Ovis aries: one gene and its partners. The protein of the gene in region 1 purifies or fractionates together with the protein of each later gene. This does not show direct contact. Links are inferred from orthologs where the notes say so. Each region holds a gene or a part of one and is shown in the gene's direction. Other genes may lie near its edges.

Evidence for each region.
Region 2: the proteins of MINK1 (region 1) and STRIP1 purify together in Homo sapiens (affinity purification with mass spectrometry; 3 studies listed by BioGRID and IntAct, with this or other methods). This does not show direct contact. The link is inferred for Ovis aries from reciprocal best matches to the Homo sapiens genes MINK1 and STRIP1.
Region 3: the proteins of MINK1 (region 1) and CNOT9 purify together in Homo sapiens (affinity purification with mass spectrometry; 3 studies listed by BioGRID and IntAct, with this or other methods). This does not show direct contact. The link is inferred for Ovis aries from reciprocal best matches to the Homo sapiens genes MINK1 and CNOT9.

What each region holds. Positions count from the first base shown.
Region 1 is NC_056064.1:26,411,887-26,415,963, reverse strand, and holds the start of MINK1 (misshapen-like kinase 1), read left to right. Parts: upstream 1-1,266; 5' UTR 1,267-1,499; coding exon 1,500-1,556; intron 1,557-4,077. UniProt on the Homo sapiens protein: Serine/threonine kinase which acts as a negative regulator of Ras-related Rap2-mediated signal transduction to control neuronal structure and AMPA receptor trafficking.
Region 2 is NC_056054.1:87,356,895-87,360,462, forward strand, and holds part of STRIP1 (striatin-interacting protein 1), read left to right. Parts: coding exon 1-9; intron 10-1,103; coding exon 1,104-1,175; intron 1,176-1,666; coding exon 1,667-1,741; intron 1,742-1,932; coding exon 1,933-2,030; intron 2,031-3,254; coding exon 3,255-3,381; intron 3,382-3,568. UniProt on the Homo sapiens protein: Plays a role in the regulation of cell morphology and cytoskeletal organization. Required in the cortical actin filament dynamics and cell shape. Part of the striatin-interacting phosphatase and kinase (STRIPAK) complexes.
Region 3 is NC_056055.1:220,558,432-220,561,999, forward strand, and holds part of CNOT9 (CCR4-NOT transcription complex subunit 9), read left to right. Parts: intron 1-170; coding exon 171-350; intron 351-1,538; coding exon 1,539-1,654; intron 1,655-3,568. UniProt on the Homo sapiens protein: Component of the CCR4-NOT complex which is one of the major cellular mRNA deadenylases and is linked to various cellular processes including bulk mRNA degradation, miRNA-mediated repression, translational repression during translational initiation and general transcription regulation.

The sequences.
Region 1 (4,077 bases):
AGGTCTCCTGCATTGCAGAAAGAGTCTTCACCGTCTAATGCAAGAGACACAGGTTTGACCCCTGGGACAGAAAGATCCCCTGGAGAAGACAATGGCAACCCACTCTAGTATTCTTGCTTGGGAAATCCCATTGTTAGAAGAGCTTGGCAGGCCACAGTCCACCAGTTCGCAAAGAGTTGGACACTACTGAGATTAAACAATGACAACAACAACAAAGTAATGTTTACATTAAGGCTGGAGGTGGGGTCTTGCAGAAATACTATCACTGTTACAAGTGATCTCAAAGATCAAGCAGCCTTCTCTTTCAAATTTGCAAAGAAAGGCCCAGAGAAGCAAAGCAACTTGCTCAAGGTCACACAGCATGTCCGTGTCAGAACATGACTCCTTGCTCTTTATATAGCATTACTCAGCCTCCAGTGAGGCTAACGGCTGGGGGTTCTACGCCAACATGCCTAGACCTAAGGTGACCCAAGCCAGACTTGAAGGGGGTCAACATAGATTCTTACTGCTCCCCTCCACCTCTCCCTGCCACCCCTCCTCCACGCACAGCTCCAGTGATCAATTAGTAATTGTGGAAGCAGTTCTGTTGTGCCGAACAAGAGGTGCAGAGACAAAGGCCTGCAGTAGGATTTCCTATCCTCAGATCTTAGGATCCTCAACACTTCCCACTGCAGTCGGGGAAGGGGTAAAGGGGCAGTCACGAGGCAGCCAGTCCCCCCTCCACTCCCCAGCCCCCAGACGGTTTCTCCAGCCAAGTTCTCACGAAGACGCCCCTCCCTCAGCGGCTCCACTGTTGCTATGGCAATTAGGTGGGTGGACAGCCCATCCTATCTAGAGGCCACCCAGCCCTCGCGTGGGGAGTTACCATAACAACCCCCCTAGTAATAGAGGGGGTTGGGTCCCACCCCCCTTCCCCCGCAAATAGAGAGGTGGGTGGTTTGATTGGCAGCTGGGCACACGAAAGAGGAGGGAAAAGGAAGGAAAGGCGTCAAAGGAGAGCTCAGAAGGAAATGGGGGAGAGAAAGGGCAAAAAACAGGGGAAGGGAAGGAAACGCGTATGCGCACGCGCGCCAGCTGGTGGGCGCGCTCCGCGGCCGCCTCGGCCGCCGCCCACTTCTTTCACGCCAGGCTCGCGCGGTCCCTCGGTCCTCGCGCGCGCCTTTCGCTCCCTCTCCTGCGCCTGCGCGCAGGTGTCGGCGCCGAGGGGGAGGGGGAACCCGGCGCGCCCGCGTCACGTTCCCTCTTCCACCCTCCGGGTGCGCGGCCACTCTGCGCCTGCGCAGGAGAGGCGGGAGGCTCGGGTTGCAGGCTCTGGGGCGAGAGCTCCTGTCAGTCGGTGGGTCGGTCCTCCCGCCGGCCCTCCCCCTCCCCGTTCTACGGGGGAGGCGCGGTGGAGCCCGCCCCCAGGATCCCCCGATGGGGGAGAAGCGGCGACGGCGGCAGCGGAATAACCGAGCCGGAGCGTGAGCGGCCCCGGGGCCCCGTTCCCGGTGGAGGCCATGGGCGACCCAGCCCCCGCCCGCAGCCTGGACGACATCGACCTGTCCGCCCTGCGGGTGAGCGCGCCGCCCCCCCAGCCTCGCCCGGTTCCCGTCCCCGCCGCTGGAGAGCGGGTGGCCGCACGCCTCGCGAGCTCCCCGGGCGCCGGGTCCCCCGCGGCGACCCCCGCCCCTCTCCCTGGCCCCCGCCCTCCGCTCCCCTTCGCTCTCCACGCGCTGCAGATTCTGGGAGCCAGCTTGGTCCCCGCCCTGGGGTGCCCCGCCCCCATTCCTCTCTCGTCCTCTACCTTTACTCAGCTTCCGGACCCCTTCCTTCCAGGTGTTTGCGGCTCACCCTCCAGCTCCCCTGAACCTGCAGTATCTTCACCGTGGTGCCCCTTCCTGGCCCCTGATCCCCTTTGGGGCCTCTTTCCCCCTCGTTGCTCCTCTGTCTTCTTCCCCCGCCTCCTGTTTCCCGGCTCCTCGAATTTTGACTTTGCCACTGCCTCGCCAGCCTCCCCCTCATCACCCTCTCTCCTCCTCGCCCAGCCCTGAATTGCATCTCTTCGCCGGCCGGCACTTCAGCCTCCCCTCTCGGGCCGCACACCTCCTACCGCCGCCCTCACCCGGCTGCTTGGCTCCCGCCCGCCCGGGTGCCTTCCTTCGCATTTCAGGTGCAGCAGTCCAGCACCAGGCATTTCCGGTCTCAGGGTCCCCCGCATATTACATTACCAACTCTGCAGCAGAGCTGTGGGGTTGGGAGGAAAGTCAAGTGCACCGGGGGAGGAGGGGACGCGTTTCTGGTCTTCAGAAACTCTGGCCTGGGCTGGGAAGAGGATGTTTACAGGTCTGTACACACACGAACACATGCAGCATGTGGTCCTTCGGGTTTGGAAAAGCTTAGGTATTCATGGCTTTGCTGGAAGGCGGGGGAGGCGATGGCGATCTCTCCAGGGAGGGGCTCATTAGAAAAGGGATCAGAGGGGAACAACTGCAGCAGGAATTTCTTGGAAATACCTATTCGTTGTCCCTCCTGGGGCCCTTGCACGTCCTCATTTGGGAGCTTTCAGCAGCATTTACCCGTTTTTCTTCAGCAGGGAGCCCTGGCTTAAGGGGCCACTGAGTGATTTCAAGGTGAAGACTCCAGCCTCTCCCCCAGGGGGTGTTTTTGTCCTGTGTCCTTCATGCTCTCTCAACAGGCCAGGGTGTTTGGGGAGAGCAGGATTTCCCATCTCTGGGTTGGGTGCTCCGGAGGCCCCTATTGAAATGTCTTCTGGTTTTTGAGTTGGCCAGGGAATGTGGCCAGTAGCTGGAAAAGGCGGTCAGCCACACAGGTGCCCCGGATATGACTGGAGGGGAGAGGGGAATTGAAGAGAGCAGAGTCATGTCGTTAATTGGGTTTCTCTAGGTGACACAGTTTTTCTTGCCATTCAGGTCATAATTTGTTTGGTGAAACGTTGGGCTAGGAGACCTGACTTGCTTCAGATAAGGTGATGAGTTGCTGAGGAGGGAGATGGAAGATTGAATTTCTCTCTCTTTCTCTGTGTGTGTGTGTGTGCGTTTAGGGGAAGAGGGTCTGAAGGCTTTGGGAGGGAGAGTCTTAATCAGTTTAAACTGTGATTCTCAAGTCAGGCCAGCTGGGGTATAAGATGGAAATCCAGGCTCCCCTTAGTGTACTATCTACAGGATGAGTCCCCACCTTGCCTTCCCACCTTGGTTGTTGATTAACTCTCGCTGCAGGTTCCTGTTGCTGAGGTGACTTAAATATAATAAAAACAGGTGGGTCCAAACCATGATCTTTGGCTTAAACCTTGTGGGGCTCTGCCTGGGCTTCTCTTTTCCTTTAGCCTCTTCTGCTAGTTTGGCCTGGATCCTCGGCCTGGGATTTCCAGCAATTCTGCAGACACCCTATGACCTTGGATGTGGTATTTCCCTTCTTAACTTCTCTACTTTTGAAGCAGTGTTAGCCTCTTTCCTCAATCATCTCCTGCCCTATTCTCCTCTCCTTCCCTTCAGAGAGGCCCTAGACCTGCTCCCGGTGCTTATGGTCTTTCCTGCCTCGGGCATTTTAAGAAAGCATCCCTCTTCCCCCCCCCCCGCCCCCCACCAGCCCAGTACTCCAGGGTTTGGGGGGGGAGTGAGGGGACCACTTCTTTTGAAATAGGACTGCAGAAGGCCTGTTGGACTTTTCTCAGGGAAGGACCTGTCCCCTCTGCCCCACCTCAGAGAGCCCCTGTATAACAGCTGGGCTCAGTCATCTCTTGTTCTGTTCTTGTCTGTCGAGTAATGGCAACCTGGAGAATTAGCAGAAAACTGTTTCTCTAAACTGGGGAGGGGGATTGGAGAGGAGCATATTCAGCATTTATTAGCCAGCCTCACAGAGTCTAAGTTGTTTTTCTTCTCTTGTTTCAAGATAAGGCTTAGCTTTCAGGTGCTGATGAGAGTAATAGGCTGGTATTAGGAAAGATTGAATGGCACTATCTCTTAGCCATGGGTGGGGAGGCGGGTAGACCTGCCACTTCGTGACCACAGGCACGCTTGACCTCTTTAAGGCTCCGTCTGTCTTCTGGCCCAGTAGTGTGGGGTAGTGTTCCTAAGT
Region 2 (3,568 bases), on another chromosome or scaffold:
CTGAAACAGGTAGGTGGCTTCAGGTATGCTTTTGGCCTAGTTTGGTCCCAAGTGAGTAAAGTGATACCATCCTGTTGGGAGAAGCTTTTTTAGACTTCTGTCTGCCTGAAGGAACCAGGGGTGGAGTAATAGGTGGACAGTGGCAGTATCCTTGAAAACACTTTTTCATGCGTTTTACTTATTTTAACTGAGCGTTTTTTATTGGGTACTTACTGGGGTACCCATTAAAGATTCTATTAACTGACAGTTGGCGTTTTAAGGGGCCTAGGACATAGCCTCCGTTTTCCTTGCCCAAGTTCAGGGAGTTGAGTTAGAGGAGTAGGCAGGTGGAGATTCAAATGCCAGCTTGTTGCCGATGGAGTGATATGGGAGCATAGCTGCAGGAGGTGTCCTGACACCTCCCTTCCAAAGTTAGGCAGACTCGCCTGCCCAGACCAGAGAGGCCTGGAGCCCTGCTCAGCCTAGGCAAGGAGCAGAAGCGTGCACAGGCTTTTCTTTTTCCTTAAGAGAGAAGAGAAAGAGGTTGAGCGAGACTGTCCTGTTCCTCCTCCCATGCTGGCCAGTCAGGAAGGGGAGGAGTGAGTGGGCGGCGGTGGGGAGAGACCAGGGTGTTTGGTACACACGTGTCCCTCCAGTGGGAGGAAACAGCACAGTGAGGAAGAGGGGTGTTCCCTAAGAGTGTATCTGCAATATAAGTGTTCATATATTTTTGAAATATAATTTTGAAATTTGTAGTACTAGGTGGGCCTCATGCAGCTAGGCTTTTTGAGTATTTGAGTCCTTGATTCTGTGTACTTGAGTCCTTGATTCTGCTTTTACGTTTCCTCCTATAGCTGTAGCTGTCTGCAAGTCCCCTCCTCTCCTTTAATTTGCCTGTTTCCCCCTAACCTGTTCTGTGCTTTCTTTATACTGGTTTTAAGAGACAGGTGCCCACTTAGAAAAATATTTTGGGTTGGGGTTTTAGTTCAGGATCTCTGTGGTGACTTAGCCCTCTTTGAGAAGATGATGTTTGAAGAAAATTGCATGGGGTCTTTCCCAGGTGTGGGCATTTGGCCAGAGAATGCGAGGTGTTTGCCCTAATGTCTCTCTCCCTCTCTTTGCAGCACAAGTACACATCGATTGCAGAGGTCCAGGCACAGATGGAGGAGGAGTACCTCCGCTCTCCTCTCTCGGGGGTGAGTTGGGGGCCTTCCTCAGCTCACCGGATCCCAGCCGTTCCCAGCACTGTATAGGCCTAGGCTGCAGAGCATCCTGGCCCGCCCTCACATAGCTCCCAGTCTGGCTCCCGCTGCAGGGCTGCTGCGTGTCGGGTGCAGGGGTAAGAGCACAGACTCTGGGCCCGCCACCTACCTCTCAATCCCAGCGCCACCCCTTGGTGGATGGTGACTTAGGCAAGGTACTCGATCTCCTTCTGCTTTCCCTTCCTAGCCTGTTAAATGGAAATAACAATAGTACTTTCTTCATAGAGTTGTAGTAAGGATTCATTGTGTCTTTACAAGTGAAGTACCTGGCACATTTTGTTATTAAAAGTTTGTGATCATTATTAGCATTGTCGTTTACGTCCATACTTAGAGATTCTCCTCCAGCCAGCTAGCAGGCTGGCTCAGGAGAGCATTGTCAGGACCAGGCTTTGTATCAGTGCCCCTTATATGCATTGTGTTGAAAGGGAGAAGAGGAAGTTGAACAGGTCCCTGCAGAAACTCTCTACCAAGGCTTGCTCCCCAGCCTGCCACAGTACATGGTGAGTGCGCACCTCCTGAGAGCTCTGCCTGCCATGTGGTCACCGCCCCACAACAGGCCTTGAGAGCATGCCACTGGTGTCCTTGAGCCCCTCCTTTTGCCCCCTAAGCACCTCTAAAAGCACCGCCTCTCAGGAGTTTATGCTGCCTGGGGCCCTCTCAGCATGCTGTGTGAATGTCTGCTCCTTGCCAGATAGCGCTACTGAAGATCCTGCTGGCTGCAGCTCCCACCTCGAAGGCCAAAACAGACTCAATCAACATCCTAGCTGACGTCCTGCCTGAGGAGATGCCGTGAGTATCAAGTCTTGAGAGTTGAGGATGTACAGAAAGGGGACGTGTTGCTGGGTGGTGGTGGTTCTTTGTTTTGTTGTTGCTGCTGCTGCTGTTACATTAGCTCAGCTTCTCTGCAGATTAAGTTTAGGGTATTCTTGGTTTAGAAGAAAGAAAATGTACTGGGTAAAATAATTAGTTTTACTGCTTGTGGGGACACTTTCATCTGATTGGCCTGGATTCTAGTGTAAACTCTGCAACTGAGTGAATTGGAGACGTCACTTCCTCTTCCTCCTCTGTTAAATGAATAGGGCTGTGTCTGACATTTCCCCAAGTGCTCCCTTGAAAGCTATGTGCTTAGGACGTTCAGGACATACAGTTTTAGCTTCTGCACAAAAATCAGCCATTGGAGCTGGGTGTAGATTCTTTACTATTCACCAGTGAACTGGCATGAAAAATATTTTTGAACGTCCCAGGGTAATAGTGAAATCTCCAGGGGTTCTTCCTTCCTGAGGCCCTGACCTCATGTTTTTGATCTGAGAGTACAAACTCAGATCACGTTCTACTTTGAGAAGGACCTGGGCACCTGATCTCCTGCCTGCTTGCCAGGACTGCCCAGCTCTGAGCCTAACTCCCTGGTGGGCTGGCCACTTGAGTCTAGTGGTGACAGCCAGTGAGGGAGTAGGCGGGTTGGCTAACACCAAAGGGGACGTTAGAGAATGCCAGGGCATCTGATGGTCCTTGGAAAAAGGATTCCAGAGTCAAATATTAAATCTCCTCTTATAAAGATTTATAGTTAACTCCTTAATTAAGAACTTAACTCCAAACTTAAGAAACTGATTTAAGTAAATGCTTCCTAAATTTATTTGACTCTGAACCCCTTTTCCCCATAACAAGAGCCATCTCAATATGCTGGTATTCCAACAGAACATGCTCTGAGAAACACAAGTACATATGATGGCAGAAGCCTCAGGAAGATCTTGAGATGAGAAGTTCAGTTTTGGAGGAAAAGCAGGGAAATAGGCCAAGAATATGTTTGGGGCATCAGAAGGAAGAAGTCAGGTGTACTGAGCTAGATTGCTTGGGAGGTGGGTGGGAGGAGCCAGGCCTAACCTCTGAGATGTCCGTAGGGTGGAGGGTTAGGTGGGAGCTCTGCCCCGAGAAGGCTCAGGAGTCCTGTCTCCTGGGAGCGCCAGGCAGGAGGTGCTGCACATGCTGGGGCCTCACCCGGGGTTGTGCTTCTAGCACCACAGTGCTGCAGAGCATGAAGCTGGGAGTGGATGTGAACCGCCACAAAGAGGTCATCGTTAAGGCCATTTCTGCCGTCCTGCTGCTGTTGCTGAAGCACTTCAAGCTGAACCACGTCTATCAGGTATCTACAGCCCCTTCCTTCTGTCCACGGGGCCAGGCCCTTGGGCAGTGCTGCTCCTCAGGCCCCAAAGAACAGAGGCTTGGCCTTCAAACCTCCCTGAGCTCTGCGCAAATGTGCAGAGAAACAGTCCTCCACACGAGGCTTTTTATCACGAGAGAAAGGGTGAGATCCCAACTGCTGCTGCTGC
Region 3 (3,568 bases), on another chromosome or scaffold:
GAGTGTGTGTGTTTTATTGAATTAGTTTCCATCAAGTATATGTTGCTAAAAAAGATGCCCTGTTATTTACAAAATATATATTCCCTCTAAAGGCTATAGCAGAGTAAGACTTGGTTTGATGCTAATGAAACTCACATGTTTACTTTTACTTTTCTTATTTTCACTTGAAGCCTGTGCCTACTGCACTGGCTCAGGTGGATAGAGAAAAGATCTATCAGTGGATCAACGAGCTGTCCAGTCCTGAAACGAGGGAAAATGCTTTGCTGGAGTTAAGTAAGAAGCGAGAATCTGTTCCTGACCTTGCACCCATGCTGTGGCATTCATTTGGTACTATTGCAGCACTTTTACAGGTGGGTGTATATAGCCATGAGTTGCATTTCATTCTAATTATAACAATTGTATCTCTCTGCCTTTGTACAAATGATTTTGAAAACTTTGGTAAGTTTTTTTTTTTTTTTAAGTGTTAACATTTGTAAGAATCATAGAAAAATCTAATAAAATGAAATTCTTGGATCCTACCCAGGAGATTTTATTTATTTAGTCTAAAATGAAAATTCTGTATTTTTAACAAGCAGCTCCCACTCCCAGATGATTTTGATGTAGGTGATGTAAGAACTGCACTTTGAGAAACACAGCTTTAGGAGTACTGTAAAATAATACTGCATAACGAGGTGGAGTGGGGATGGTGGTGGAGAGAGCGGTATAAGAACTAAAAGGTATATTCTGGGTAAAGAAAATGCTAGCGTAAAAATGTAACAGCCATAGGAGTAAAGGTGGGTATTCTTGTATATTAAAGAATAAATAACTAATATTTCATTCTGACTAGAACAGTCATTTCCATGGAATAAATTGATACGATGTAGTCCTAAGAACCAAGATATGATCATCTTTTAAAGTATTGTCCACATCCCTAATAATTAGATTAATATTTAAAATCTGTTGAGTAAATTCATATTCTGTCTGTACTGCATGTACCCAGGAAACTAGTCTTTCTTATGGGAACATTTTCTGTATAAAAATTTTACAGTTAAGATAAATGGAATTGTGTTCAGCAAATCATCACCTTTTGACAGAGAATACATATGTTCTCTGCTGTTTGTACATATCCCCACACATGTACATACTTTCTTATCTCATCCTTTTTGCACTTGCTACATGACGAAACAGAAACTTCTTTATGAGTTAAAGTGGTTGATTTATTGACATTTTCTGGCCAACTGTCTCATCACTACAACCTAAATAGGGTGTTGACAAAGGTGGGAGGAGGGGTGTCCCTCAAGTGAAAGCCTCAACAGATGATGCAGAATATAGGGAAAAGTGTGGGTAACCACAGTTCCCTCCTTAGAAATCTTCCTAGGGATAATATGTTTCAAATAGTCTCAGTCAGGTATATTTGTGATGAAAGGAATATTGTTTATTTCTGCCCCCTCTTTGATGGTTCTGTTCTTATAGGGTATACAAAATTAAAATTGTTGGCCTTCATACCATGGGAATTAAAGTTATTCCGTGCTCATATGGTGTTGATTTCCATTTTTTAGGAAATTGTAAATATTTATCCATCTATCAACCCACCCACCTTGACAGCACACCAGTCTAACAGAGTTTGCAATGCCCTAGCATTACTGCAATGTGTGGCATCACACCCAGAAACCAGGTAAATACTTTGGATGGATGTGAGGGTAGAGGTTTGTATTGAATGTGGTCCTAAACTTCTTCTGAATGATGAGAGGAGGGGCTTGCAGGAGGGTGCACCTGTGTGGGTGTGGATCTTCAGGACTCCTACTTTTTTTTTTCCTGAAGAATTTCTGGTTTCTAATTTCACCAGATTTTGGTGTAGTGGCAATATGGTACTATTTAACATGTTTTTTTTTTTTTAATTGAAGGATAATTGCTTTACAATATTGTGTTGGTTTCTGCCAAACATCAACATGCATCAACCATAGTAACATGTTCTTTTATAATTGATTTTTTAAATTGTGGTAAAATATAAATAACATAAAATATATTATTTGAACCATTTTATTTTATTTTTATTTATTCATTTTTGGCTGTGTTGGGTTTAGTTGCAACATGCAAAATTTTCATTGTGGCTTGCAGGCTTCTCTCTAGTTGTGGCATACAGGCTCAATAGTTGTGGCACATGAGCCCAATTGTCCTGCAGCATGTGGTATCTTAGTTCCCCAACCAGGGATCGAACCCACATCCCCTGCATTACAAGGCAGATTCTTAACCACTGGACCACTAGGGAAGTCCTGATTTTAAGTGTTCAGTTCAGTAGTTTTAAATATATTAATATGGAGAAGGAAATGGCAACCCACTCCAGTACTGTTGCCTGGAAAATCCTATGGACGGAGGAGCCCAATAGGCTAGTCCATGGGGTCTGTAAAAAAAAAACAACACATTAATAATGTGCCACTGTCACCAGCATCCATTTCTGTAATTCTATTCATCCTGTAAAACTGAAACTCTATACCCATTAAATAATAACTTCCCATCCCCCTGTCCCCTAGCTTCTGGTAACCACTGTTCTTCTTTCTGTCTATGATTTTGACTATTCTGAATACCTCATTATAAATGGAGTCATATAGTATTTGCTTTTTTGTGATTGGCTTATTTCACTTAACATAATGTCCTCAAGGTTCACCAGTATATTGGATATGTCAGAATTTCCTTCCTTTTTAAGGCTGAATAATATTCCCTTGTCTCATTTACTTTTTGCCTGTTGGTAGTAAGGAACTTTAAAGGAGTGGCGATCACCTCTCAGGAAAAGTCAGGTATACAGCTACTACTTGCTCCCGAATCCATGGTAGGCATCACTATGCCATGCATGAGGCACAGTGCATGGTATTTAGTAGGAATTCTCACATAGTAAGCCAGATTTGGTTTCAGAACCTTTTTGAACACAGGATTCTAGTCAACGTCTGTCATAAATGAGAATTGATGTGCAAGTTGAGAAATATTTGCCTTACTGCTGTATCTGACAAATTAAGAAAGGGGAGATTCTGTTCAGAAATCTGCTCTGTGGCTTTTATGGCCTTAAGGTGCTTAATAGTCATCTTATTAAAGCCTTTCCTCTCTTTGTCAAGTTTTCCTTATAAAATCTGAGTGCTGGATTGGCACTGACCTTTTGGAACATTAGAAACTTTGCTAAGAAAATTATTTTTAAGTACTTAAGAAAAATAAAAGAGTATTTAGTAAAAATTTTGGGATATTGGCTCTCCTATAAGGTGTAACTGTTACAAATTATATAAAGTAATAGACTGATTGCGTATTAGTTGCTGAACATACTGGCTGCAGATAAAAGTGTTTTTAGGATACTTGGTTTATCTGAAAGCTCTAACAAAGAAGTGTATTTAAGTGTAACAGATAAAACCTTGATAGTGGCTGCTTTATTTTGTTGTCTTGGTTTATAAGGTTTTGTCAGCTTGTACCTGTGAATATTATTAATATTGTTATTCACTCATAAATTAGGTAAGAGAAGACATATAGGAGAATCTCTTGTGCACTTAAGTACATTTTATGACCTATATTTAAAATTTGCAGTTGGATATTTTATCAGTTTTTAAGT